Bombyx mori: one gene and its partners. The protein of the gene in region 5 purifies or fractionates together with the protein of the main gene of each other region. This does not show direct contact. Links are inferred from orthologs where the notes say so. Each region holds a gene or a part of one and is shown on either strand. Other genes may lie near its edges.

The links.
Region 1: the proteins of RNA-binding protein cabeza (region 5) and splicing factor 3A subunit 1 purify together in Homo sapiens (affinity purification with mass spectrometry; 3 studies listed by BioGRID and IntAct, with this or other methods). This does not show direct contact. The link is inferred for Bombyx mori from reciprocal best matches to the Homo sapiens genes FUS and SF3A1.
Region 2: the proteins of RNA-binding protein cabeza (region 5) and heterogeneous nuclear ribonucleoprotein U-like protein 1 purify together in Homo sapiens (affinity purification with mass spectrometry; 3 studies listed by BioGRID and IntAct, with this or other methods). This does not show direct contact. The link is inferred for Bombyx mori from reciprocal best matches to the Homo sapiens genes FUS and HNRNPUL1.
Region 3: the proteins of RNA-binding protein cabeza (region 5) and cell division cycle 5-like protein purify together in Homo sapiens (affinity purification with mass spectrometry; 4 studies listed by BioGRID and IntAct, with this or other methods). This does not show direct contact. The link is inferred for Bombyx mori from reciprocal best matches to the Homo sapiens genes FUS and CDC5L.
Region 4: the proteins of RNA-binding protein cabeza (region 5) and MLE purify together in Homo sapiens (affinity purification with mass spectrometry; 4 studies listed by BioGRID and IntAct, with this or other methods). This does not show direct contact. The link is inferred for Bombyx mori from reciprocal best matches to the Homo sapiens genes FUS and DHX9.
Region 6: the proteins of RNA-binding protein cabeza (region 5) and splicing factor 3A subunit 3 purify together in Homo sapiens (affinity purification with mass spectrometry; 3 studies listed by BioGRID and IntAct, with this or other methods). This does not show direct contact. The link is inferred for Bombyx mori from reciprocal best matches to the Homo sapiens genes FUS and SF3A3.
Region 7: the proteins of RNA-binding protein cabeza (region 5) and RNA polymerase-associated protein CTR9 homolog purify together in Homo sapiens (affinity purification with mass spectrometry; 3 studies listed by BioGRID and IntAct, with this or other methods). This does not show direct contact. The link is inferred for Bombyx mori from reciprocal best matches to the Homo sapiens genes FUS and CTR9.

Annotation. Positions count from the first base shown.
Region 1 is NC_085112.1:2,362,209-2,365,708, forward strand, and holds part of splicing factor 3A subunit 1, read left to right. Parts: coding exon of another isoform or gene 1-688; exon of another isoform or gene 689-1,370; coding exon 1,371-1,593; intron 1,594-1,992; coding exon 1,993-2,156; intron 2,157-3,218; coding exon 3,219-3,374; intron 3,375-3,500. Other genes in the region: transmembrane protease serine 3-like, read left to right, coding at 1-688. UniProt on the Homo sapiens protein: Component of the 17S U2 SnRNP complex of the spliceosome, a large ribonucleoprotein complex that removes introns from transcribed pre-mRNAs.
Region 2 is NC_085130.1:5,989,306-5,992,805, forward strand, and holds part of heterogeneous nuclear ribonucleoprotein U-like protein 1, read right to left. Parts: intron 3,221-3,500; coding exon 3,090-3,220; intron 1,094-3,089; coding exon 957-1,093; intron 732-956; coding exon 700-731; intron 521-699; coding exon 378-520; intron 1-377.
Region 3 is NC_085115.1:11,723,283-11,726,343, reverse strand, and holds the end of cell division cycle 5-like protein, read right to left. Parts: intron 2,904-3,061; coding exon 2,712-2,903; intron 2,017-2,711; coding exon 1,811-2,016; intron 1,611-1,810; exon of another isoform or gene 1,412-1,610; coding exon 959-1,411; 3' UTR 501-958; downstream 1-500.
Region 4 is NC_085132.1:4,379,863-4,383,830, reverse strand, and holds the start of MLE (MLE protein), read right to left. Parts: upstream 2,801-3,968; 5' UTR 2,668-2,800; coding exon 2,592-2,667; intron 2,488-2,591; coding exon 2,234-2,487; intron 1,888-2,233; coding exon 1,637-1,887; intron 1-1,636. UniProt on the Homo sapiens protein: Multifunctional ATP-dependent nucleic acid helicase that unwinds DNA and RNA in a 3' to 5' direction and that plays important roles in many processes, such as DNA replication, transcriptional activation, post-transcriptional RNA regulation, mRNA translation and RNA-mediated gene silencing.
Region 5 is NC_085116.1:7,696,744-7,699,903, forward strand, and holds part of RNA-binding protein cabeza, read left to right. Parts: intron 1-2,022; coding exon 2,023-2,054; intron 2,055-2,915; coding exon 2,916-3,073; intron 3,074-3,160. UniProt on the Homo sapiens protein: DNA/RNA-binding protein that plays a role in various cellular processes such as transcription regulation, RNA splicing, RNA transport, DNA repair and damage response. Binds to ssRNA containing the consensus sequence 5'-AGGUAA-3'.
Region 6 is NC_085112.1:8,798,029-8,802,144, forward strand, and holds the start of splicing factor 3A subunit 3, read right to left. Parts: upstream 2,801-4,116; 5' UTR 2,459-2,800; coding exon 2,363-2,458; intron 1-2,362. UniProt on the Homo sapiens protein: Component of the 17S U2 SnRNP complex of the spliceosome, a large ribonucleoprotein complex that removes introns from transcribed pre-mRNAs.
Region 7 is NC_085129.1:3,976,815-3,980,845, forward strand, and holds the start of RNA polymerase-associated protein CTR9 homolog, read left to right. Parts: upstream 1-1,231; 5' UTR 1,232-1,439; coding exon 1,440-1,475; intron 1,476-1,555; coding exon 1,556-1,654; intron 1,655-2,492; coding exon 2,493-2,732; intron 2,733-2,806; coding exon 2,807-3,075; intron 3,076-3,853; coding exon 3,854-4,031. UniProt on the Homo sapiens protein: Component of the PAF1 complex (PAF1C) which has multiple functions during transcription by RNA polymerase II and is implicated in regulation of development and maintenance of embryonic stem cell pluripotency.

The DNA of each region.
Region 1 (3,500 bases), on a different chromosome or scaffold from region 5:
TGAGTACCCGTACGTTGTGACGGTCGAGTTAAAACTCACGAATACTACGACGAACGCTCTGCTGTGCTCGGGGTGCGTGCTGACCCCGACCTGGACCCTGACCACCGCGCGCTGCGTCTCCAAAACCGAAGACTTGCTAATCCAGGATCCGAAGATGTCATGGGTGGTGTACTATGGACTCACGCAGAAACCTTCCCAGGACACCGCCATCGCGATCCTTTCCGGAATAGTCCACCCCAGATATGCCGCGTCACCGAGAATGCTTCACAACGACATCGGCCTTCTGCGCACCGATCCCATCACCCTTAAACAGTTCGCCAAATTGAGCGCCGTTGACATGTTCTCTATGAACGGTTACGAAGTTGAGCTAATAGGCTTCAAGTCGACCAATGATACCAGTGGAAAATTGAAGAGAACTCTACAGATTTCATCGGTTGTGGTGAAGACTTGTGAAGGCACCGTTACTTATCCGGGGATGTGTTTGGCTCGGTCCTGCTCGTTGACCGACGCTTGTCACCAGGAAACTGGAGGTATAGCCATCCACAGCACCGGGGTCATAGCACTCCTGGCCAGTGGACGCAAGAGGGACTGCTTGGAGAACAATGAGAGACAGCAGGCCTATCAAATTGAGACAATGACTTCAATTGTGCCATATATAGATTGGATTCATACTCATATCAAGAGCTAATAGTAGCTAGTGTAAGATTGGTGTCAGAAGCTTCAGTGAACGGATGAAATTTGTATTGTTTTCTCAATAAAAGTGTTTGTTTATGAGCTTTATTTGTATTTAGCTTTTAAAAGCAATTAAAAATGCTCAGTTAACTTGATGATTACCCGCCTTTAGTTAAGCCTGCTCACTAAAGTATTGATATTTTACACTGACTAACTTTGTACGCTTCGGGCTTGTGTTGGATCAATGTTTTATCTTCTCGTTATTTTACTTGCTTAGCTTATACTGTTGTGTATGCACAAATGAAAGATTCCAAAGCAGACTGGTTTATTTTTGCATCTACCCGCCATTTTATAATGCGATTTAATATCTATACATAACACTTGTAATAAAGGGAGGTGGCGGAATTCATGGAATTCATTTGGTGAACTATATCTGATGTTTATAGGTTCCGTGAAGCTGTTGACCTGGAGTTGGCCATTAGTTTGTTCAAATAATTGTTCCATGCTCTCTGCGACATACGCCTTAGTAACTTCTTACTGCATTTCCAAATAGTAAGGAAATTGTATAATGGTAAACATGACGTAATAGCTTAGGTTATTTGAAGATACACTTTTTTAACGAGCATAATAAGAAATACTATTGCAACATTCTCTTCGAAACTCGTTTAAGATACTCATTACGATTGATTACAATTCAGGTTAAAGGTCTACTCCCCGACGAGGAGAAAGAGAAAATAGGTCCGAAGCCAGTGACCGGGGCAGCCCAGAGCCGGGCGGGGCGTCCCCCCGCGCCCCCCTCTGCCCCCCGCGCTGCTCCGCCTCCCCCGCCCCCGGCACCGCCTGTGCTGCTGCAGCCGATGTCCTCGCTAATGGTCCTGCCCCCCATGGCGCCCCGACCTCCGCTCATACCGGCTCCAGTGGGTACGTATACTCGAACACTGCACACATTCCGTACAACATGGCGCTAAGATCGCGTGCCTGATTTACTGGTGCCGGACAATGTACATGTAGTCTTAGGGAGTTAAGCTACAGATTAGAGGAAGAGTTGATGGAATGATAGAGTAAAGTGACATCTGAATGTGATCGCTGTGAGGGGATCATATGGTCAAAGTGTTCTGTGCAGGGGACCGACCCATCGTGGGTCGGTGAGTATCGGCTTCGGTCTGTGCACCCACGGTGTGTTGGACCCCACCTAACGCCAGTTGAGCTGTAGATTCGCGTGCCAGTAATGCATGCAACTATCCAAATATTGTGTGTGCTTCTTGCATAACACATCCGCTCAGTACATTTTGTACCAATAATGTGATTGCATCGCCTTAGGTGCAGTACCACCGCCGGCGTTCAACTTCGGAGCGGTAGTCCCTCCGGGCACAGTGGCGGAGCCCGAGGACGAGGGCCCGGCCGCTAAGAGAGCCCGCACCGAGGACGCGCTGGAGCCCGAGGGCGCCTGGCTCGCGCGCCACCCCGGCGCAGTCCCCCTGCAGGTGGGCTACCAGTAACACTACAATGATTGCTCTTACGCTAACAAACATTACAACTACAAACAAATAGAAAATCGGTCCAGTGTTTTTTTATTTTTTTTTATTGCTCAGAGGGGTGGACGAGCTTACAGCCGACCTGATGTTAAGTGGTTACTGAAGCCCATATACATCTACAACGTAAATGCGCCACCCACCTTGAGATATAAGTTCTAAGGTCTAAGTATAGTTACAACGGCTGCCCCACCCTTCAAACCGAAACGCATTACTGCTTCACGGCAGAAATAGGCACGGTGGTGGTACCCACCCGCGCGTATTATTAATATACCCCCAATATTAATATGTAGACAGAAGTGCTCTAATTTAATACGGTTTTATTAGCTTCATACGTATGTTAGTAAGTAACGGAATCTTTGAACATGATTTTGACCCCCTTCAAAACGTCAGATTGATTCGAAATTTGGCATACTTATTAAGGACCGATTAAAATTCAATATTTTAAACAATTAGACTCGTTATCCTTACTAGGATAATCAGGAATAGCGATTTTTTGTTTTCCTGAGACCCTGAGTGTCTGCGTCAAAACCAAGATGGGAAACCACCAGGCCCGCTGATTACCTATTTCTCGGATAAGTTACCGACTGTATCAGATGAAAGTTTTGAAATATTGAAAAAAAAAATTAATAAATTAAAATTCAACTAAAAAAATAGAAAATAAATTTTAATTAAAAATAGTCTAAGAAAAAATTATATTATTGTAAAAAAATCGTGGGGCGCACTGTATCAATAGTTATAAATATTTTATGAACAGATATGAGTAGAAGGGCTATTTTGATAATATACTGAAAAGCACCCGTACCTCCTACGAGGTCTCCGCGCTTAGGAGGCGCGCGGGGTAGGTACGTGGGACTGGTCCGCGACTGCGAGACTGCGGGCCCAAGGATGTTTTCAGGGCCCTAGAGTGGTGGTACCTACCCGTGCGGACTCACAAGACGTCCTACCACCAGGAATGCATTATGTTAATTGTATGATATTGTACCCTAATGCCCTTGTCCCTTGTGTCGGCAGGTGTCGTTGCCGGCGGCGCCTGAGCGCGCGGAGTGGCGGCTGGACGGGCGCGCGGTGCCGCTGACGCTGCCGCTGTCGGCCGCCGTCGCCGAGCTCAAGGCCATGCTGCAGCGCGCCACCAACATGCCCACCGCCAAGCAGAAGCTGCACTACGAGGTATCCCGACACGCTCAAATACTCGCATAGCTCACCGTAACAAATGATTAGCCATATTTTTTCCCCGGTTTTGACAGACCATATTAGCGTCAGGCGAATAGGTGAGCTCATGGGGCTCAAATCTGA
Region 2 (3,500 bases), on a different chromosome or scaffold from region 5:
TGATCTAAATTAAAGAGTGCTTTACAAACCCAACCTTACAAGCGAATACCATGTGTAAGTGAAACCAAAAAGAAGGCATTGAGCATGAGAGCTTACAAATTGCGTTTGAAGGTTTCAGTTTCTTAAACTTATTTTCACATTAATTAAAATTCTATTACAATTGTATTTACAGTACAATGTGGTAAATACTATATAGCATCATCAACCTCACCAATTCAGTCAATCTGATTTGAATAAATAATAGCTAAACCTTACACTAAAACAATTAGAATTAAATAATAACTACCTACTTTGAGAGCTTATCCCTGTGTATTGTATATTGTATTTGTAAAAATTATTAACCAAAATAGCCATCATAACATCATTGGATTGCTTACCTCTTTATTTTTCTCTGTTTTATCTTCTTTGCTTTCTTCATTCTTCTGTTTTTTGGCTTCAGTGTCATCACCGTCATGCTCCATAGTTTCAGCGGTATGTTTCTTTGCGTCATCTGGACCCGTAGATTCTTGCGTGTCCATTGCTTTTATATAATTTGCACAAGTTTAATATAGTAGGATAAAAAAAATACATGGTTCTCATTAATTTAATTTATACATGAAATATTGATAACGACTCCAACCTACATTGTTGTACGTCAAACAAAAAAAAAAGGGGGAATTTTCTGGTAAATTTATTTTCTATTAATTAATAAAAGCTTACCTTTGTCATCCTCCTGTTCATCTGATTCATTTCTGAAAAAGTAAAGAAATAAATAAAATTAAATAAGACTTGTTTCCTCTTTAATTCTTTCACAGGTATGTTTTTTAATAAAGTAATGAATCGGTTTATAGAACTAAGAAAAAAATTACAAAAAATATTATACAAAGGTGATATTTAAGGGTCAGAGTTAGGCTGGGGTGTGGGTGGTATTGTCAATGTCATCTGCATTTGTTGACCTATTAACCTGTCGAGCTTACCTGTTATTAGGCTCTTTTGCGAGCTGTTCATCTTTAGTTGGTTGAGATTCAGTTGATTCTTCCTCAAGGCTTGGTGAGTAGCGGTCATCACCGTCACTGCGAGTTTCTTCCGGAATGGGCTCAGGTGGGTCTGCAGGCTATTTTCAATAATACAACAATAAAAACTACATTAACAATTAATTGAATAAATAAATGATACAATACAGGTAACGTCATACGGTAGTTATATTTATTTTTAGTAATCCTTCCTATTAGACACAATGTTTTGCAACCTTTGCTGAAACATTAAAACGTGTTTACTTATTGCTTTTTTTACTACAATCGAAGTGCGTACAGGCTCACAGCCAACCTGATAATCGATTATTAGAGCTACACACTTGCGACCAGTAAAGTCTTTTGGTGCTGATTTTTTTTTTTAATATGTGATGTAATTATTTTGAGTATTTTAATTCCGTTTTTTTGGTGTAATAATGCTGTTTTTTTATATAAAAACTTTATTAATAGCAATAATACGAACAAGTAAAAAAATGTGCACACACTCAAAATCGTAAATTTAATCGAAGTGGGTGTGCGATAACTCTACATCGCAATTTTCAGTACCGTGCATAGAAGCGCTATCGCCGTGTAGCGTATAGGATTAAAACGGAACGCACATTCGACTGTGTATTGTTACGAATCCATGAGTGCTGATCAGTAGGAATTTATGAGATTAGGGGTGAGACTAAATAGGGAAATAAGGTCGTAATAACGGTATTATCACAGTTTATTATCATTTTCGATCATATAACCTTAAATTACATACATCTGAATAATATGAAACTCTACAAGCACTAGCAAATTTGAAATAATGATATGCGGTAGGCAGCGGCTTGGCTCTGCCCCTGGCATTGCTGAAGTCCATAGGCGACGGTAACCACTCACCATCAGGTGGGCCGTATGATGAATGAAAAATGATGAAAAAAAAATGCAATAAACTATAAACCTGATTTTTTTTTCAAACTTCAAAGAGCAAAGCCTGCCTTTCCTATTTGAATAAAAATCTAGGATTCGTAACATTAAGAGCACTGTTTTGAAATTATTTTTTTTTTTCATATGATTTGCAACATTCATAAGAAAAACTAACCATTTGAATAAACTCCGTTTTTCAATATGTACACTTCGGAAAAAGGTTATCGTGTATAATGGAACCAGTTATTCAAACACAAAACACGGTACGCCTTAGCTTTATCAGTAAATTTATCGCTATTTTTACGGTACGTTGTTACTGAGGAAAAATAAATCAATAACAAGAAAAACGCTATTACAGTTTAAAACCCTAGTCCTTATTATCTTAGATTAGAAAATCAGGCAGGGAGTGTTCAACCATTACTTGACTTGACTTACATTATTGCAGACACTTAATAATTCTAATTTTTGTATGACCTTGCATTTTTATTGGTGATGTATAAACACTGTCAACATTGTTATTAACTTTTCTTAGTGCTTGTTATTTTTTGTCTCAGTAATTGATAAATATTTAACTTTCACAGTTGGTTATTATCCTATTCCATCTGTTTTGCAAGAATGGTCTCTTTACAGTACGACATAATTTTTAATGAACATATCGAGGGATGACAGAAAGGCTATTTGGTTTAAGCGACATTTATCTTTGTAATTAAAGATGCGTTTTAATTGATATTAACATCAACAGTTCGATGTTTTTAATTGAACTTCAGTTAAGTTTACTCCATTGAAATAGCTAAATTTTTTCTTATTATATTTTTTCCAAATTTTATTTATATCTTTAATGGCTCTCTTACTACTCTTACTTACTCTAATACTTGTGGTAGGACCTCTTGTGAGTCAGTCCGCACGGGTAGGTATCACTACCCCGCCTATTTCTGCCATGAAGCAGTAATGCGTTTCGGTTTGAAAGGTGGGGCAGCCGTTGTAACTATACTTGAGACCTTAGAACTTATATCTCAACGTGGGTGGCGCATTTACGTTTGTAGATGTCTATGGGCTCCAGTAACCACATAACACCGGGTGGGCTGTGAGCTCGTCCAACCATGTAAGCAATAAAAAAATAAAAATGCAAAAATGTCGCTTAAACCGAATAGCCTTTCTCGTCTCGATATTATGCTTTTACTTTACCTTTGCTGGTGTGGCTGCTAGTTTCGAAGTAGACGAGGAACGTCGAGTGGTTCTTGATGCCGGCCGACGCGGTGTTCCTGGATCATCAGTCTCTTCAGTACTGGTATCTAATATTGAATTGTCTGGTAGTGCTGCAAAATAACGCTTTTATTTAATTTTCATTGTTGATCAACAAAATCTATCAAAAGAAAACAATTAATTCATTTCTATAATCTTCTAAATATTAATTGAACCAATATTTAGGGTTTTTTTTTCTTTCCCTACCTAAGCTGAGAGCCTTGAGAGGCTATTTCAGCGTAACCCTAACTTTTGTAGGTGAGCTCACGGGGCTCAAACCTGATGACGTTGCTAACACGAACCCTAGCAAGAGCCGTACTTCGCAGAATCTACCACCGGATCGGAAACGCGACC
Region 3 (3,061 bases), on a different chromosome or scaffold from region 5:
TGTGTGTTACATATTTATGGTTTCATGCATTTCAAGTTTCCAATCTTGATGGATAGTGTCGTACACTTGTAACCAAGCCAACAATTATATTATGGCCTACTAGAAATTCAATATTAAATTTAAATTTAATTTGTTAATTGATGATCTTTGTATCCGTAGATTCGTATATACATTTGGTTCTGTGATATAAATTATCAATCTAACTGTAAATATCAATTATAATCGAGATATATTGTACTACGAATTATGTCATTTGTAAATAATAGTATATTGTAATACATACATGTAAAGATAAATGTGACCAGTTTTTTCTTCCATACTAAAACTACAGAGTAACCTCGCAAAAAATATACATACCTTACCATCGAAAGAAGATTGATGTTGGTAAATTTCCGCAATGTCAATAATCTAAAGTATGGAGTTCTTATATCCATTATATAAATAGTATATAAACTAAATCTTTAACATTCTAATGGATTTAACTACATTGAAACAAAAAATACTACTTATTTATGATTTATTCTGACCTTATTGTGTAGATATAATCGTTGTTTTTTTTTTAAATTATAGTGTGACTAATGATCTAATGCGAAAATAAACACGCACACTGGTAAACATGTGTTGTCGAACCATTAAAAATGAGGTTTAAAAAACTATAATGGAAACCTGATATTTATTACATATTTTTGTTATAATCCTACTACCTATTATTCCAGTGTTTATTATTGTTACTCATCTTCTAATAGAAACGTTGTCATTAACTATACTACAGATAGTCTTGATCCACTGTTTAGTTTTTACTATTAATTCATCAGCACTAAATATCAGATACGTCGATACAGAGGTAAAACTTTTAACTGCAGCTTCAAATGTATGAGAAACAATTTTGCGGACAAACGATAATATCTTCCTTAACTTAGTGCGTCATTACTCCATTTTAATATTTACAAGAACATTTTTATGCAGTCGTTTTTTGAGAATTAACATTTTCGGAAACTTGACTTTTCTTCCCTTTCTGCATGTTTTCTACCTCGGTCTGTAGTTCTGAGTATCGCTTTTGCAAAAGCTTCTCGCGTTCAGTCTGTCGGCTGACGTCTTCGGTCAACGATTCTATTCTACGTGGAATGGCCGCTTTCTCCTGTTCAGCCAAGAATTTAAAGGTCGATAATTCTAAATTAGCTTGTTCTATTTGATCTTGTAATTCTTGAAACTGTTTTATGAGAGCTGCGGCACGACTCTGGTAACCTCCTGTTAGCACACGAAGTTTCTTTTCCATTTTTGAACATTTTTTTGCTTCCTTCGCCATGTGATTTCTATTCTGCTCTAATCTTTTCTCAGCAGATTCTAAACGATCCTTCTTGCTTGCCAAATTAGCACGCGTGTAACGATGTTGACCGGGTAGAAAAAGTACCTATAGGAAAATGTGTGTAATTACTGTAATGTGCTAATTGATTGATTTCTTTAATCCTACGATTCAGTTAGTAAAAAGGATTATTGGAAAATTATATATAGATTTAACATTATAAGCATTTTGATCTCGGCCACTTCTGTACCACCACTTCACATTATATTTAGTATAATAAGTATTATTACATTATATTTGCAAGCCAGATTTTGTTTCTTTTTATTTGTGTATTTATGTGTCTTTAGCTTGTGATGTGTATTGTGAGCCTAATAAAATAAATAAATAAATAGTAACATAACACTTCCAAAGAATAGGTGCTTTGATTTAGTCAGCCACTAAAAAAAATTGGTAGCATTGAAATATTGTGCGAAAAGGGTAAAAAAAATAATACTATGATTCTCATACCTGTGCTAAACATTCCTCCCAGACTTGAGTGTACGCGTCTATACTAAGGTCCCCATGACTCATTCCCGCTTTCACGACTTCCATTTCTTTCTTCAGTGCTTCTTTAGCGGCAGCTAATTCTTCGTCAGCAAACTCTTCATATGGATGCTGTTCTAAGTATGCTAAATGGGATGCTTGTAGTTGAATAGCACGCTTTTTATCTACACCTGAAAAATATAATTCTATTAATATTTGAATGTCTTTACACTCTTAAGGTGAATTTTGATTCCTGTATTCCGATACCTTTGTTAGGTTACGCGATGCTACAGAATTACCGCATATTAAAATTTAAATGCTTATGTATTCACGAAATCGAATTATTAATCGTATCCGTAGTAATGGCCTCAATCAGTTCATGCCACATAGGGTAATAAATGGGCTTCATTTTCAGAGCTTACCGAAACTAACTTGATTTTTTGATTGTGTCACTCTGTCTTTGTAAAATACTGATGTTAACAAGGTATGTTGAGAGCACGGTTCATACTGTAGCAACAAAATTCAAAACGTTGAGCAAATTTATATTTGTAAAAGCTACGGCCACCAGACTGGTGATGGCGGTACAATAGCTGGTCAGTAACCACCAACGAGGCAATCAAGTATTTATTTATTGCTTAGATGGGTGAACGAGCTCAGCTGGTGTTAAGTGGTTACTGGAGCCCATAGACATCTACAACGTAAATGCGCCACCCACCTTGAGATATAAACTAAGGTCTCAAGTATAGTTACAGCGACTGCCTCACCCTTCAAAGTGAAACGCATTACTGCTTCACGGCAGAAATAAGCAGGGCGGTGGCACCTATCCGCGCGGACTCACAAGAGGTCCTACCACCAGTGAAATGTTTGAATGTGTGAAATAAGAAACCTTCAGGCGGGTCCCTGAGGGCATCGTAGTGCAGCATGGTGACCATCTCGGCTTTGAGCAGTTCCTCGGCGTGCTGCAGCGGCGTGAGGGCGGACAGCGAGGCGGCACCGCGCAGCACCGACACGTTGACGTCGGCCGGACGCGCCGCGCCGCGCTGCACCGCCAGCGAGCGACGCGACAGCTCGGCAGCGCCTGCCGATAATCAAACCGAGTTGGTCGTAGCGACTTTTAAGTTCAATGAAGTTCAAACGACGAGTACATTTCATATGTGGCTTATAAGTAAAAATCCTCGCAAAAAAAACTTTCCAAAGGTATAGGCGATGGGTTCGTTAATAATTCTTACAAGAGCA
Region 4 (3,968 bases), on a different chromosome or scaffold from region 5:
TTGTAACAAACAAACATTCTTGCCAATGATTTTTCAATCTTTATGAATAACCAGTGGCAGTATAAAATATTGATGATATAAACTAGTATGCAAGAATAAAAACAGATGTGATGTGTGCAACTACTTATATGTTTTCTAACAAAAATCAAAAGCTTGATGATAAAGAATAAAGTATAAAGGTAGAATAAAGTGCAAACAAGACAAGAATATTTCAATCATATTATACAGATATGTTAACATATTAAAAATATGATGAAAATTTATCCTTTTACGTTAAATACTTAATCATTTAACATCGTACTGAGGCTTTAGTTTTACATTTGAATATCACATCGACCTGAATGCACAGCTGCTCAGAGATAGACTGGCTTTCTGATGTAGATATTGGACACATTAAGCCAGGTTCACATTCTGCATTCAATGACTAGATTTCTGTATCAGATATTTCACATTCTTATTGTCTGACACCTGTGTGATTAACATATTTGAATGTGACTAATTACTTATCTGAATAACTGATACAGAAATATAATCAAGGAATATAAGAGTTTGGCACCGAGCTGAAAGTGTCCAAAATTTACCTATATCAGAAAGCCTTCATGTGACAAATGAAAGTGCTGTACTATAAACTTCAGGACCTTATAGTACAGCACTATATACACAGTAATATACTCATACTCCAGCTGTAGGCTAGACTAAGCTATGACCCAGGCATTGCTAATGTCCATGAGTGATGTTGATTACTTACTATCAAGTGTGCTATATGATCTAACTACAATGGGAATAAATCCTTTCAATAATTATTCATGTGCTTGTTCAAATCTGAAGATGCTGTTATATGCTGTTTTCAATCTTTGTATAGGATGTAGACTAACTAAGATGACAATGTGCATTAACTCTATTTTTCTGTTTAAACTCAGATATTATAATTACAACCTGAAATCCTGAAATTATGGATTCTTGAATCTTTATGGATATGAATCATTCTTCATTGTCAGTCCAACACAACATTGGAAATAATTTTCATATCAAGATATTTTATAAATCAACATACATTGATCACAGATTCAGTATAACTGGGACCACATTCTATTCCTAATGTTATTGCATTTAGTGCATAACATTAGGAATAGTTGTCCTATTATAGTTATATCCTGCTAATCTTATTCAAATTGTTAATCAATTTTGAAAGATAAATACAAAACATTTATCTTTCAAACCTTACCTTTATAAAACTATAAACTTTATAGGTTACCTTTATAAAACTACTTTTATTATGGCTTAGCATTTTTTTTCCACAGGAGAAAATCGCCGGATCCCCACCCGCGCGGCAGGTGGGGTATGTGGGAGTTGAACCTCACTAAAAACTCCTGCCGCTCACAACCGGCCATAGCAATTTTTAGTGTCATATTATTTCATACATTTTGAATGCTTTACAGTTTGTATGGTAATAAGCACATTGTCTTCTATGGCATACTTTTAACTGTATAGCCTATGCAATTAAAACTAATACTATCATAACAACCACTGCTAATTAGACTTTTGTTGGAGATAGGTTTTTATTAAACCAGCATTTGGTACAATACAAATGCTTTGAAATTAATGATTACACTTTTATTAGATATCTTATACAAACCGTGTATGATCAGGTCCAACTGCTTTGTAAACATAGTCTGCATTTATTTTATTCATCTGTAAAAACTGATGAAGTTTTGACTTAGCATTCTCCATTGTCCAGTTGCCATGGAGACTGGAGTTTATGTCCAGATCTTCAGCTTCTTCAACATTTTTCTGTTGTTGCATGCGATCTATGTATGAAAATTTCTTGTCATTTTCACCTCCATAAGCTTGGTACGCTGGTCCTATAACTTCTGGACCCATTCCATCCTGAAATGTGAATTAGTTTTCATTTTCTACCATTTGTAATCACTCCCATAAGAAATTATGTAGTTTTCTCAAGCTAGTTAGATACTTAAATCTCTTAATTTTCTCAAGTTACAGTCTACCTTGTAACAGAATGATTATCGAAGCTATAAACCAATATTTATTTAAACACCACTGAAACCTATGAAACATTCAATAAGTCATTTTACTCATGGTCTTAATCATACATTTGCTATTATTGTTATTGAGGAATTATTTCTTTTTGGTGTAGTTTGCCTCCACAATTATAAAAATGAATACAATAAGTTCAAATAATTAAACACAAGGAAACTTTTGATTAAAACATCACCTGAAAGACTTGCTTAGGTTGTTGACCACCATTATTCTCGACAGATTCTTCATTAGTAGATTCCTCAATTGCCTTTGCCTTCACATCTTCAGGAACATCAGCCTGTGGGATTTGCCCCGCTCTAACTAGATAACTAACAAAGTCCTTAGCGGCGTTCATCTGTGCATCTTTTTTGGTAGTAGAGTTTCCAGCTCCTAAATATGAAAATCCTTCGACGCGGACTTCGCACAGAAAGCGTTGGCGGTGTTTAGGACCTGCATAAATTCAGTCCAGGATAATGTATAATAATTATTGAATAATGTTAATTCTGGACAAATCAGTCATCATTAAAAACATTATAATTCAAATATAATTGTACCTGTGGCCCGGATATCGAAAAGCGGAGTTAAGCCTTTCTTAGCACACCAAGTATATAAAAATGATTTAATATCCATTTTGAGCAGATACTTTGGGCGATATTCTTTCTAAATTATTATGTTGATTAGTTGTAGAAAGCGGTAGAAACTTAAACTCAATTAAAGCCGCACCAAATGAATTAACTCGGGCCAGCCACACACAACAAATGTCAATGGCGTCAAATCAAAATGTGATTTTTAAACTTTTTTTTTAACGGATTTTATGACCTGGTAACTAAGACTTTTACGTCATGTCTTATTTTAATTTATTCATAATTTTATGAAAAATGATACATGGAGTGTAATAAAATAAAATGAAGATGTTTAATTTGAGACATTAATCATCTGGGATGAAAATAAATGAAATGAAATGAGATGATATAGGATGAATATAATCTCAATAAAATGGTGGTCTTTTATTGAAACTTTTTCAGTGGACTTTTTGTAAGATCCCGAGAAGTTACGTCCAGCGGCTTTGTTTTATTTTCCCACATATGTGCACTTTCAAAGATACTAAATAGTTAACAAACCACCGTTATTAAACATTTAAACCTGAAGAAACACTAAGTAGACAAAATAAAGCAAATCACACCACTTCACTCCTCGCGTTCCCGCCAAAAAGTCCCATTTTTAGACTTTTTATTAGGTACTTTAGGTATAATCTTAATGTTACAACCAATCTTTCTTTTGGACTTATACTATCGTAGGATTAGATTTGTAATAGTTATATAATAGATATATAATAGACGTATATATCGTAGGACGTATATATCCTATATCGTAGGATAGTATCCTGCTTTTGAATAAACGGTGTCACAAGGTTTAATATTAGGTCAAACCAGATCGAATCCATTTGTAGATAATTTTTGAAGTCTGCTGGTTCTAAATCACTCATAATGTTCATATTTGCTAACATTCCGCACAGCAATAAATATTTCTTCACCGATATTCTTGTTTTTTTTTTGAGAAATTAAAACAAAAAACAAAAACAAAAATTTTGTTGTTTTCTAGACAATACTGGGGCCTTAAGTGTATAATCTATGACTGGGGCCATCCTCTTACACCGGCCACTGCATGTGAGTGGCACGAATACGGAAACCCGCAAGTGAGGGACGACATTTGCAAATGATTATGCAAAGTTTTCGCTACATTCGTGGTTTTCAAAGCTGTGTCGGTTTTTTAACAGACATCAAACCGCGCGAACCTCGAACCTTCGCGTAGTCTCCCACACATTCACTTGCTCAGTTGCGCCGATGATTGCGAATGTAACGGACGTATCGCCATTTTCATAGTTCGTGACGTCTACTGTGTAGCGTATCTTCATCAAAAGAAATCCCATA
Region 5 (3,160 bases):
GCTCTGATGGAACTGATTAAGATGCAATGTTTAATCAAAAATATGTTATTTTTGCCAATTGCTGAAGAAGCTTCTTATTTAAACCATGTTTTTTTATTGCTTAGATGGGTGAACGAGCTCACAGCCCATCTGGTGTTAAGTGGTTACTGGAGCCCATACACATCCACAACGTAAATGCGCCACCCACCTTGAGATATAAGTTCTAAGGTCTCAAGTATTGTTATAGCGGCTGCCCCACTCTTCAAACTGAAACGCATTACTGCTTCACGGCAGAAATAGGCAGGGTGGTGGTACCCACCCGCGCGGACTTATAAGAGGTCCTACCACCAGTAATTACACAAATTATAATTTTGCGAGTTTGGTTTTTATTAGTTTGATGTTATTTCTTCATGGTGGAAGTCAATCGTGAACATTTGTCGAGTACGTATTTCATTACAAAAATTGCACTGGACGTCTTATCCGTTACGCCACAACGACTTGTATGAAGAATGAAATACCATAGCACTTAGATAACCATGCAGAAAAAAAGTTGTGTTAACATTGCAAAAACTACAATAAAAATACAAAGAATTACCTATCCACTGGTCAGGAAACACCACTACTTTGATATGAACAGAAAACAACGATAAATTTTTCATTACAGTCCTCTCGATCCATTAACAGTGCCTTTAGGTACCTCAAGCACCGGTCACCGTCCTCGCCCAATCCGTCGCTTGTGACGAAGAGCTCGACGAGTAAATTAACCCATAGACACAGCCCACTGAGTTTCTCGCTGTATCTTCTCAGTGGGTCGTGTTTCCGATCCAGTGGTAGGTTCTGCGAAGCACTGCCCTTGCTAAGGCCAGTATTAGCAGCACTCTGGTTTGAGCCCCGTGAGCTCACCTAAACGTCAAGGAGAAGCTGAAATATCCTCTCAAGGCTATCAGCGTAAGGAAGGAAAAAAAAGATAAATTACTTAAGCCTATACTTTCCTTCTTAGTAACAGCCGGCACCTGCCTTCACTTACCATGTGTTTAAAAGGCTATTGATTCTCTGTGTTAGCAGATTTTTACTATGTTATTCATAAAGTTCATAATGTAGTTTTTTTAAATCACAGCTTTATGGTATTAGGTCAGCAAACAAAAGTACTACAACCTGTCTTCATCTGAAGTTTTTGAGTATTCTCCTGTAATCAAAAAGTTTGCCAATTAGCTGGTTTGCCAATTAAGGTATTAATGTTGCATAAATTAAGAATGATTAAATTTATTTCTAAAATGGAAAAATTTCAAGTGCCTATTTTTATAGGCGAAAAATTATTGGAGTTATTTTGATAAGAATTCTTGTGCTTGTGTTGGAAAATTAATGTACTCAGAAGTTAGACCATATAACATACACCTTTTATTAAAAATATACTGAGAAATTGATGTTATAAGTATGGTTTCTGAGAAGCACACATTAAACACCAAGTTTATAAAAATCAAATTTATATTCAAGTAACTAGTATTTTTACTGTTTATGCATTTAAATGAGAATGCCCAATCCAATGACTACAAGATTTCAGATGCTTTTATAGAAATATAACAGTAAAGTAACATATGGGATTGTTACTAGTAAACATACTAAACCAAACAGAATATCGTCTTACAATTCAGTCATACTTCTTAGCAGTCCAACTTCTGAAATGAAAACTGGAAAAATAGCTGAGCAAAAATATATCTTTTAAATATTGTCTCAATGAACTTGGTGAATAATGTTTTATTTCATAATTTGAGTGTTTAAAAATGAAGTAATTAGAACATGTATCTGTATATTGTATCCATAATACTGGTCTGCATGTCTCAAGAAATTGCTGCAATAATTTTGTCTTCAAGCATTGTTCTAAGATTTTCAAGGTATCAAGGTTAAAACATTATGGTAAAGAAAAGGACGCAACTCTTGGACTGAGGTCACTTATAAGTGAACCTAGGTGTGAAACAATCTACGTGCGACATACAGTGTGTCCCTTGCCTGCCTGTGTACTAAATGCTGTCCTTATTGTTTTAGTGGCGGAGGCAGGGGGGGTGGTTTTAACAAAGGTAAAGCACCTCGCATTATGCGAGCGATGCTGTTGTCATATTATTAATTTGTATTTATCTAAGGGGCTGCCAAACATGGTATTCTACTGGTTAACTGGCTCTATAATATAAGTAGGTTTTATCTTATTATATGGTTCAATAAAGAAAAGTTGATCAGGTGTGAAAAACGTCAGCTTGGAAATGTGTATTACGAATTACTAAATAGATTGTAAGGTAAATAATATTTTAGGTAAAATGTGCTATATGTGTTTCACAATAATATCAAGAGTTTATTGAGGATTGTGCTTATATAAGGGAACTTACAGTATATGACAACCTCAAATATGAATATGTAGTGACATATGCTAGCAAGTAATAAAATGAATGATAACTACACAAAACATTTATTTTATCTCTAAGGAGACACCACTATTTATTGTAAGAGGCATAATCTTCAACAGAGTTATAATATTGTGACTGATGATAATTAGGTAGTATGGTTACTTGATTAAAGTGTATTTGACCAGTAATAATGCATATTGTTTTGGCAGCCCTAAAGTTATGGTATAAAGTCATGCAAAGGTTTTGTCATCGACAAAGAAAAATAATATTTTTTAATATTTGTCTATGTTAAGAAGGTATTTAGGACACGTAATTCTAGTGTGTCCAAAGGTAATATTACAAGCGCGAATCCAAATATCATCTATTTTAAGAGGTGAATTGTACATTTTAGAATGACAAGCTAAATAACTTATTCAATTAGATAATTTTAGACTTCATTATTTAAAATTAAATAAATTATGTTGTTTATTTATACAGCAACTAGAATTGTTTATTTACAAGCTATTTATTCCCCCATAATTGAATAAAATTTTCCTTCAGGAGGCGGCGGAAGCGGTGGATATGCCGACCGTGGTGGCGGTGGTGGTGGTGGCGGTGATATGGTAACTCAAGAAGATACTGTCTTCGTTCAGGGAATGAATCCATCTACTACTGAAGAGGAGCTGTGCCAACATTTTGGAGCTATTGGTATAATCAAGGTAATTGAATGGTAAAATATAAATTTGGAAAAATGTTTCATTTTCCTTCTTTTTTGGATGTATGTAAACTATGCTAAATCAAGCATA
Region 6 (4,116 bases), on a different chromosome or scaffold from region 5:
TTTCCCTCGACGGAACACCTTTGCCAGTATGTCAAGACTTCCGATACCTAGGGTCTGTTATCCAAAGCGACGGTGAACTGGATCGTACTGTGAGGCACAGAATTGACGCAGGATGGATGAAATGGCGGCAGGTCACGGGCACCATATGTGACTCGCACATCCCTCTTCCCCTAAAAGGGAAGATATATAAGACCTTAATAAGGCCTGCCGTCTTGTATGGATCAGCTTGTTGGACAACGAAAGTGGCGGATGAAAGGCGATTGCATGCAGCAGAGATGCGAATGTTGCGATGGATGTGTGGAGTAACGAGAATGGATAGAATACGGAATGAATATGTTAGAGGAAGTCTGAAAGTGGCACCTGTGACAGAGAAGCTGAGGAGTGCACGTTTGGGATGGTATGGACATGTGATGAGACGGAATGAAAATGAGGTTGTTAAGAGAGTGTTAACTATGAATGTGGAAGGATTTAGAGGAAGAGGTAGACCTAAGAAGAAATGGATGGATTGTGTGAAAGACGATATGGGTAGGAGGGGAGTGAGCGAAGAAATGGTATATGATAGAAGAGTATGGAAGGAGAAAACATGTTGCGCCGACCCCAGGTGACTGGGAGAAGGGCAGGATAATGATGATATGTAATTACATAATAATGCAATTTGTTGATTTAGAAAAAGCGTATGATAGGGTTCCCCGTGAGGTTTTGTGGTGGAGCATGAAAGTGAAAGGAGTGCCAGGGAAATACCAACGGCTTGTTCGAGCTATGTACGGTAGAGCTAGTACGTACGTACGCTCCGCAGCTGGCAATAGCGACGAGTTCAGTGTGGCGGTAGGCTTACACCAGGGATCAGCTTTAAGCCCTTACCTGTTCATCCTAATAATGGATGCCCTAACATCGGACATACAGGAAGAGGCGCCTTGGTGTATGCTGTTCGCCGACGACATTGTTCTCGTTGGAGAGGAAGGGCCTGAGATACAGAGGAGATTGGCAAAATGGAAAGAAAGGTTGGAAAACGTGGGTTTGAAGATCTGTCGAACAAAAACCAAGCACATGTTTTGTGATTTTGGTGGTTCTTCAGACTTCACGCCAATCGACTTCAAGTACCTCGGCTCTATACTCCAGAACGACGGCAACATAGACCGGGACGTCGCAAATCGAATAAACGCTGGTTGGATGAAATGGCGACAGGTCTCTGCAACAGCATGCGATCGTAGAATGCCCCTTCAGCTCAAGGGCAAAATTTACAAAACGATCATTAGACCTGTCGTGCTGTATGGATCTGAGTGTTGGGCGACGAAAGTTAAGCAAAGCATGAAAGAGGAGTGCATGCGGCAGAGATGCGAATGTTGAGATGGATGTGTGGAGTGACAAGAATGGATAAGATAAAGAATGAGTATATCAGAGGAAGTGTGAAAGTGGCCCCGGTAAACAACAAATTAAGGAGCGGACGGTTAGCGTGGTATGGACATGTGATGCGTAGAGAGAAGATGCATGTGACTAGGAGATGTATGGAAATGGTAGTGCAAGGTAGAGGGGGAAGAGGTCGACCAAAGAAGACATGGATGGAGTGTGTGAATGACGATATGAGAGAGAGAGGAGTGAGTGTTGAGATGACGGCTGATAGAAGAGAATGGAAGAGAAAAATTAGCTGTGCCGACCCCACATAGTGGGATAAGGTGGAGAAAAAGAAGAAGAAATAATGCATAAGCCCACAGCCTAAATAGTATTAAATGGTTACTTGTACATTAAGACATTAATGCCACAAAATAAGAGTCTACTAGAGGCTTCAGTTCTGACTGGTGTGTAGAATAGCTTCAAGACAGAAACTAACAAAGTTGTAGTGCCTAATAGTACCATACAAGGTGTCCCTAATGGGACAAACCAAATCAACAATAAATCAAGCTGAAACATTGTTATAGATGGAACAATGCAGATCACATTAAAAATGTAAAAAATCTAAGTTGTAATTAGTAGTTTCATAACAAAACTAACTTATTAATTGTTTCATCTGTTCGATAACAGCCCTGAATTTATACAACAAAGGTACCATTCATTCAGCAGTTCATTCAAATGTTAAATGCATCAGAATTAGACATTTAATTTTAAACAAATACATTTAGTTCATTTCTAAAAAATAAATACAACAAAAAATGTAACCATATTACTATGTGCAATAGGTGTACTAGGTGATTGTTACTAAGTTTCACCTTAATGTACAAACAAAAAAATCTTTGAAGGGGTATTCATGTGTGTATGTATTTCAATAAGCTAACATCAAGCAACTGTTTTTAATTTATTAACCTCAATAAGGCACCCGCACCCCTTAGGTAAATCCAATCTACAGTGATCATGTAACATGGCTTACCCCAGTTTTTTTGTGAAGAATTTCTTTGACCATTGCGTCCATGGTTCTTTCCCTTTCCTCATGGTAGCTTCGTTGTTGCTCTAAAATTGTTTCCATTTTTAAAGGTTATAGAAATTGTTTTATGTCAATCACCTTGTAAAATACAATAATATTAAAATAATGATTAATGATTTTGAAGTTTAAATTATGTGAGAAAATATATGGTAGCATACAAAATATGCTTCAACTCAGTTGAATCAACTGTACTAAATTTACGTTACTGAGTATTGAAATCAATATTTTAGATAATAACAATAATGAAGAATCAAATCATCAACGTTTTTTAGATATATTTTATTCATTGAAGTAGTATGTATGAAATGTATACGTAAACCATAGATACAGTGTGACCATCTCTTAACTATAGATCCTGCCTTATGCCGGCCACTGACATGCGCGCAAATATTCGTACATTGTACGAATGTTTGCGCGCATGTGAAAGGCCGTCAAACATTCATTCGCAAACCTAGCGGCCGTGCAAATGGGTTCGCATACTCAATTTGCGAACCCGTTTGCGCTTCCTCCTACACTTGTTTACGAATGTCTCACGAATTTCTCCTCCTTTTTAATTCGTCAATAGAACATTGAAGAGAAAAAGAGTTTTGAATTCTTTCCCAGACATCATTAACAGCCATGCGGTTTTTATGGGATTTCTTTTGATGAAGATACGCTACACAGTAGACGTGAAAAACTATGAAAATGGCGATTCGTCCGTTACATTCGCAATCGTCGGCGCAACTGGGCAAACGAATGTGTGAGAGACTACGCGAAGGTTCGCGGTTCGCGCGCTTTGATGTCTGTTAAAAACCGACACAGCTTGGAAAACCACGAATGTGGCGAAAACTTTGCATAATCATTTGCAAATGTCGTCCTACACTTGCGGGTTTGCGTATTCGTGCGCATGTGAGTGACCGGTGTAAGAGTCCAATCCTGCCAAAATGGCAAGATCCTGCCACATATGGTCACACTGCATAGATATTTTTTGGTACAATTTTTCCTTACTAGGAAAAGCAAAGAGATCTAAACCCATACAATCTTGTCTGTTCTAAAAATCATAGATATTAATAGAGATACAACTAGGATTTTTTTAAGGGCCTGGATTTAAGTCTTTTAAACCAGATAGCTGTTTGAATTAATAGTAACAAAGATAATTTATCTTAATTATATAACTTAGTTTTTATTTATTGTTTTACTGAACCATAAGATTACTGCGACAAGTCTCGAGATCTTTGATAAAACTCGGTAGGCATCGGCTTTTTTTTCGAAGTCCCTGCATTTCCGAAGTCCATGAGCAACTACAGCCACTCAACACCAGGTGGGTTGTTTGATGAGCTGCCTACAACAGCAAATGGAAGAATATTACAACGTATAATTTGATAAAAAATACCTTTTATCGCAATGCAATATCTAAATCATCATGCCATGGCGAAGCTATCATTCATAAAATACAATGAAAACATTTATGTAGTGCTAGAGATATAATCATTATTATATTTTTTTTAATTTCCGAATGGAAATATGAACAACATTAAAGACATGCATATTGGTTCTAGAAGGAAGAGGTAAGGAGAATCATCTCATAAGGGAGAAAAAATTAAAGTGTCCAGCTGTATGCTATAAATCAGTTCAAAAACCTCTCACAATCGCGCTGGTGTAGACAACGGATATGGTATAAATGTAGCAATCATTGAACTGAAGTATGCGGAGTTAAAAAA
Region 7 (4,031 bases), on a different chromosome or scaffold from region 5:
TGTACTGGTTGACTGGAGGGAAATCCCAGCTTTCGCCAACAAGTAAAATTTTAATTTACAAAACCATCTTAAAGCCAATATGGACATATGGCATACAGCTTTGGGGAACTGCCAGCAATAGCAACGTCGAGATCCTGGAAAGGTTTCAAAATAAAACTTTCAGAACAATGCTAAGAATACCGCATTACATAAGCAACAAGATCATACAAATGGACCTAAATATTCCCACAGTGAAAGAGGAAATAGTAGCTTACAGCAAAAAATATCAAGCCAGGTTATCGACACACGTCAATAAATTGGCGTCGGACCTAGGAGGCACAGGAGCTGTGCAGTTTACTAGATTAAGGAGGCACAGTATACCTACCTTACACAACAGAAATTAAATCTAACAATAAAAGATGAAGGTGTCACTGGATATCTGATTCTGTTTATAAATCTATTAAGAATAAATTCAGCCAGAGGAATAGCTCATTGTTAACTGAAAAACAGATCGCTACGAGACATTAAAACATAAGAGAAAAAAAAAAAAATTAATTAGAGAAGTTAATATTACGACGGATGCGATGCTATATAAAAAAAAAATTAAAAAAGTTAATCAAAAGAAAATCAATTTAATATGTATAATGTGTGTAGCGCCAATAGATATGCTGTACTTGACTTTTGATTTTCTTTTGGACTTGAGGACTGTATTCTGTTAAATTAAAAGATGTTTATTTTTTGAGATACCAGTTGGCATGTGTATTCTGAATTAGCAATTTTACAGTTTTATATGATGATGGGGTCAGGGAACAATATTTTTATCCAATAGCAACCGCACACGTTCCTAGCGTGATAGCGTCACACACAGCTCGATTATAATTGGTCGCGAAAATTTATACAATAATACCAATATAATAATACTAATGACAAAATACAGATACGATAATTTCACGGATCGAGATCCTCAGCATTGCAGATGCGTGAACAATGTCTAATGTACAAACTAATAAAACTGAAAAAAAAGATCTTCCGAGAACTAGCTTAGGCTAATATAAAAGTTAAAGACAGGTTTGTGTAAGTGAGAGAGATTTAAAGTGAGTGATATATGTATACTGAGCTAAATGATCAAGATGAAAAAATAAATTAATTGACAGACCAATCAATTGAATTGGATCACTGAGCTAGTGATCTAAATGGGCTAGTGAGCTAGATGAGTGATATATATCTTTAGAGTAAAATGATATATGTTCTATGATTATACTAATCTGTGCTCAACAGGATTATGTTGTAATATGTTGGCCTAAAGGTCTAGAAACCAGGCCACAAACTCCAAAAAAAAAAAAAAATTTTTAGTATGTTGTACATACACAAAAAACGCGATAAATATACGTTTTGGTAAATTTTAGTTAGCAAACTAGTGAATTTTGTATAATGAAGTAATTAAAAATAAAAAAATCAAGATGTCGCTGGAAATACCTTTAATGAGCACCGACGAGGTGAAATAAAAACTCTAATTCAGTTTGGCGTTTAAAAAGTGTTCGTGTAACATTTTTATATTAATATTTGATTTCTTTAGGTGATTGACCTGGATCCAGAACAATTACCTTCCGGCGATGAGGTGCTCAGTATTTTACAACAAGAACGCTCACAACTCAATGTTTGGATTAATGTTGCAGTGAGTTAACCTAACCTCGATATTATTCTATTATGGGAAAATAATCATAGCAGACGAAAAAAATTAAAACTTTATACCAATCACAACGTTGCAAATACATGAACTAATATAAAATGCAAGAAAATCTTTAATTAAAAAAGGTTTTTCAACTGTAAATGATCATTTAACAATTAGTTGAGTAAATATGTTTACAAAGAACTTTCACAAATTACTTTACCTTAAACTTATAATGTCAGTTTTAAATATAAACATTAACTGCAATTTTCTTCGTTCTTTTAGACTTACATCAAAATATGTTAAATATACAATCATAAAATAATTTCACACTTATGATACATAATTCGGAGTACACATTTTCATTATTTTTATTGCCTACAATTATCGTAATGGGGGTGTTAGATATTATGAAGCAAACACTGCCAACATGCTGACATGTGTGTCAGCAGTGTAAATGTCACAAAAAATTTGAAAGTATGACTACGTCATGGGAATAGGCAGCTTTGTGGTATCTTATGGGTAGACAATGCACCCTATGAATATATGAATAAATATGCAAATTCATAAAAATTATGGTTATCATATTAATAATTTTATTACACAATATAATTTCTTCGATATGTATTTGTATACATACATCAGGTGGAATTTGATATGATCTAATGTAGTTTGTTGTGGTTGAAATTAATAAAATAAATAATAAAAAGGAATTTGTACAATTTGAGTTTCGGGACATTCATATTTATTATTAACCTGTTATATAATAAGAAACAGTTGCTCTGCATCTTAAGTGTGACTGACTTTATGCTCCAGTTAAAAGTTTTCAACTTTTTATGTTTAGCTCGCATATTACAAACAAAAGAAAATCGATGACTTCCTCAAGATCCTGGAAGCATCACGTACAGATGCCAACATTGACTATCGGGATTTCGAAAGAGATCAGATGCGGGCTCTCGACATGTTGGCCGCATACTATGTGCAAGAAGCTAACAAAGAGAAGTCAAAAGATAAGAAAAAAGAACTATTTACAAAGGCAACATTATTGTACACTATGGCGGATAAAATTATTATGTATGATCAGGCAAGTGAAAAATAATGCATCAGTTAATCATTGCTAATTGTCGCTTTATTTTCTAATAATGTGAAATGTTCCAGAACCATCTTCTTGGTAGAGCATATTTCTGCTTATTGGAAGGTGACAAAATGGAACAGGCTGATGCTCAGTTCAACTTTGTCCTAAATCAATCCCCAAATAATGTGCCTTCATTGCTCGGTAAAGCTTGCATAGCTTTCAATCGTAAAGATTACAGAGGGGCACTTGCTTTTTATAAGAAAGCACTTAGAACAAATCCAGACAGCCCAGCCGCTTTGAGACTGGGTATGGGACATTGTTTTATGAAGCTGAATAATCAGGAGAAAGCCAGGTATCTATATCGTAATAATTATGGCTTGTCTGCAAATTCTGATTTTGGATACTGGAGGTCCTGGTCCATTACTGCTATTAAGAAACTGTTTCAGTTTGAATAGCAGAGTAACTTAATCCTTTGCACTTGAGATTTCGAAGTATTTGTTTATGTGTAACTTGTGATCCCATTCATGTCAAATATGTTAATTCACCAGCTTGGGCTTTTAGACATATTTGCATATCAATAGAAAACTGTGAATAAGCTTTAAACAAAAGTTTCAAATCCAATCATTTCCATTAAAAGTTAAAGAAATACCAAAGTGAAAAACAGAAAAAGTCCCTCCCTATGGCATATTGCAATGAGTATTTGGACATATAACCCAAGCAGGCGGTATGTCGTAAACTTATGTTGTGTCATGACATATCAACGCCCAATGCCGCATGATAAGCGGTCATGCCGTCCCAACCTGACATATATGGTATAAGAGGAAAAAGAAGTGTAATTTTGATCAAAAGTCATACAGTATATCTGTTGTAGTGTTTACTGGAGCCCATATCTTAAGACATGAGATTGAAATCTCTATTATATTGTATGAACAAAACTAGGGGTACTACATTGCATACAAAAAAAAAGAAGTACACACACATATATATATATATATATATATATAGTTTTAAAGCATTGTAGAAATGGTGACCTCTTGTAAAGCGCACCACCACCCCAAATGATGACCACGACCACTCTGTCAAGAGTGCAAAAGACTGAGAAGAAGAAATAATAAATATATTTATTGCAGGATGGCCTTTGAAAGAGCTTTACAATTAGATCCACAATGTGTAGGTGCTTTAGTGGGACTTTCCATTTTAAAATTAAATCTGCAGGAGAGTGAATCAAACAAAATAGCAGTTATTATGTTGTCTAAAGCCTATGCTATTGACCCAAAAAATCCTATGGTTCTAAATCATTTGGCCAAT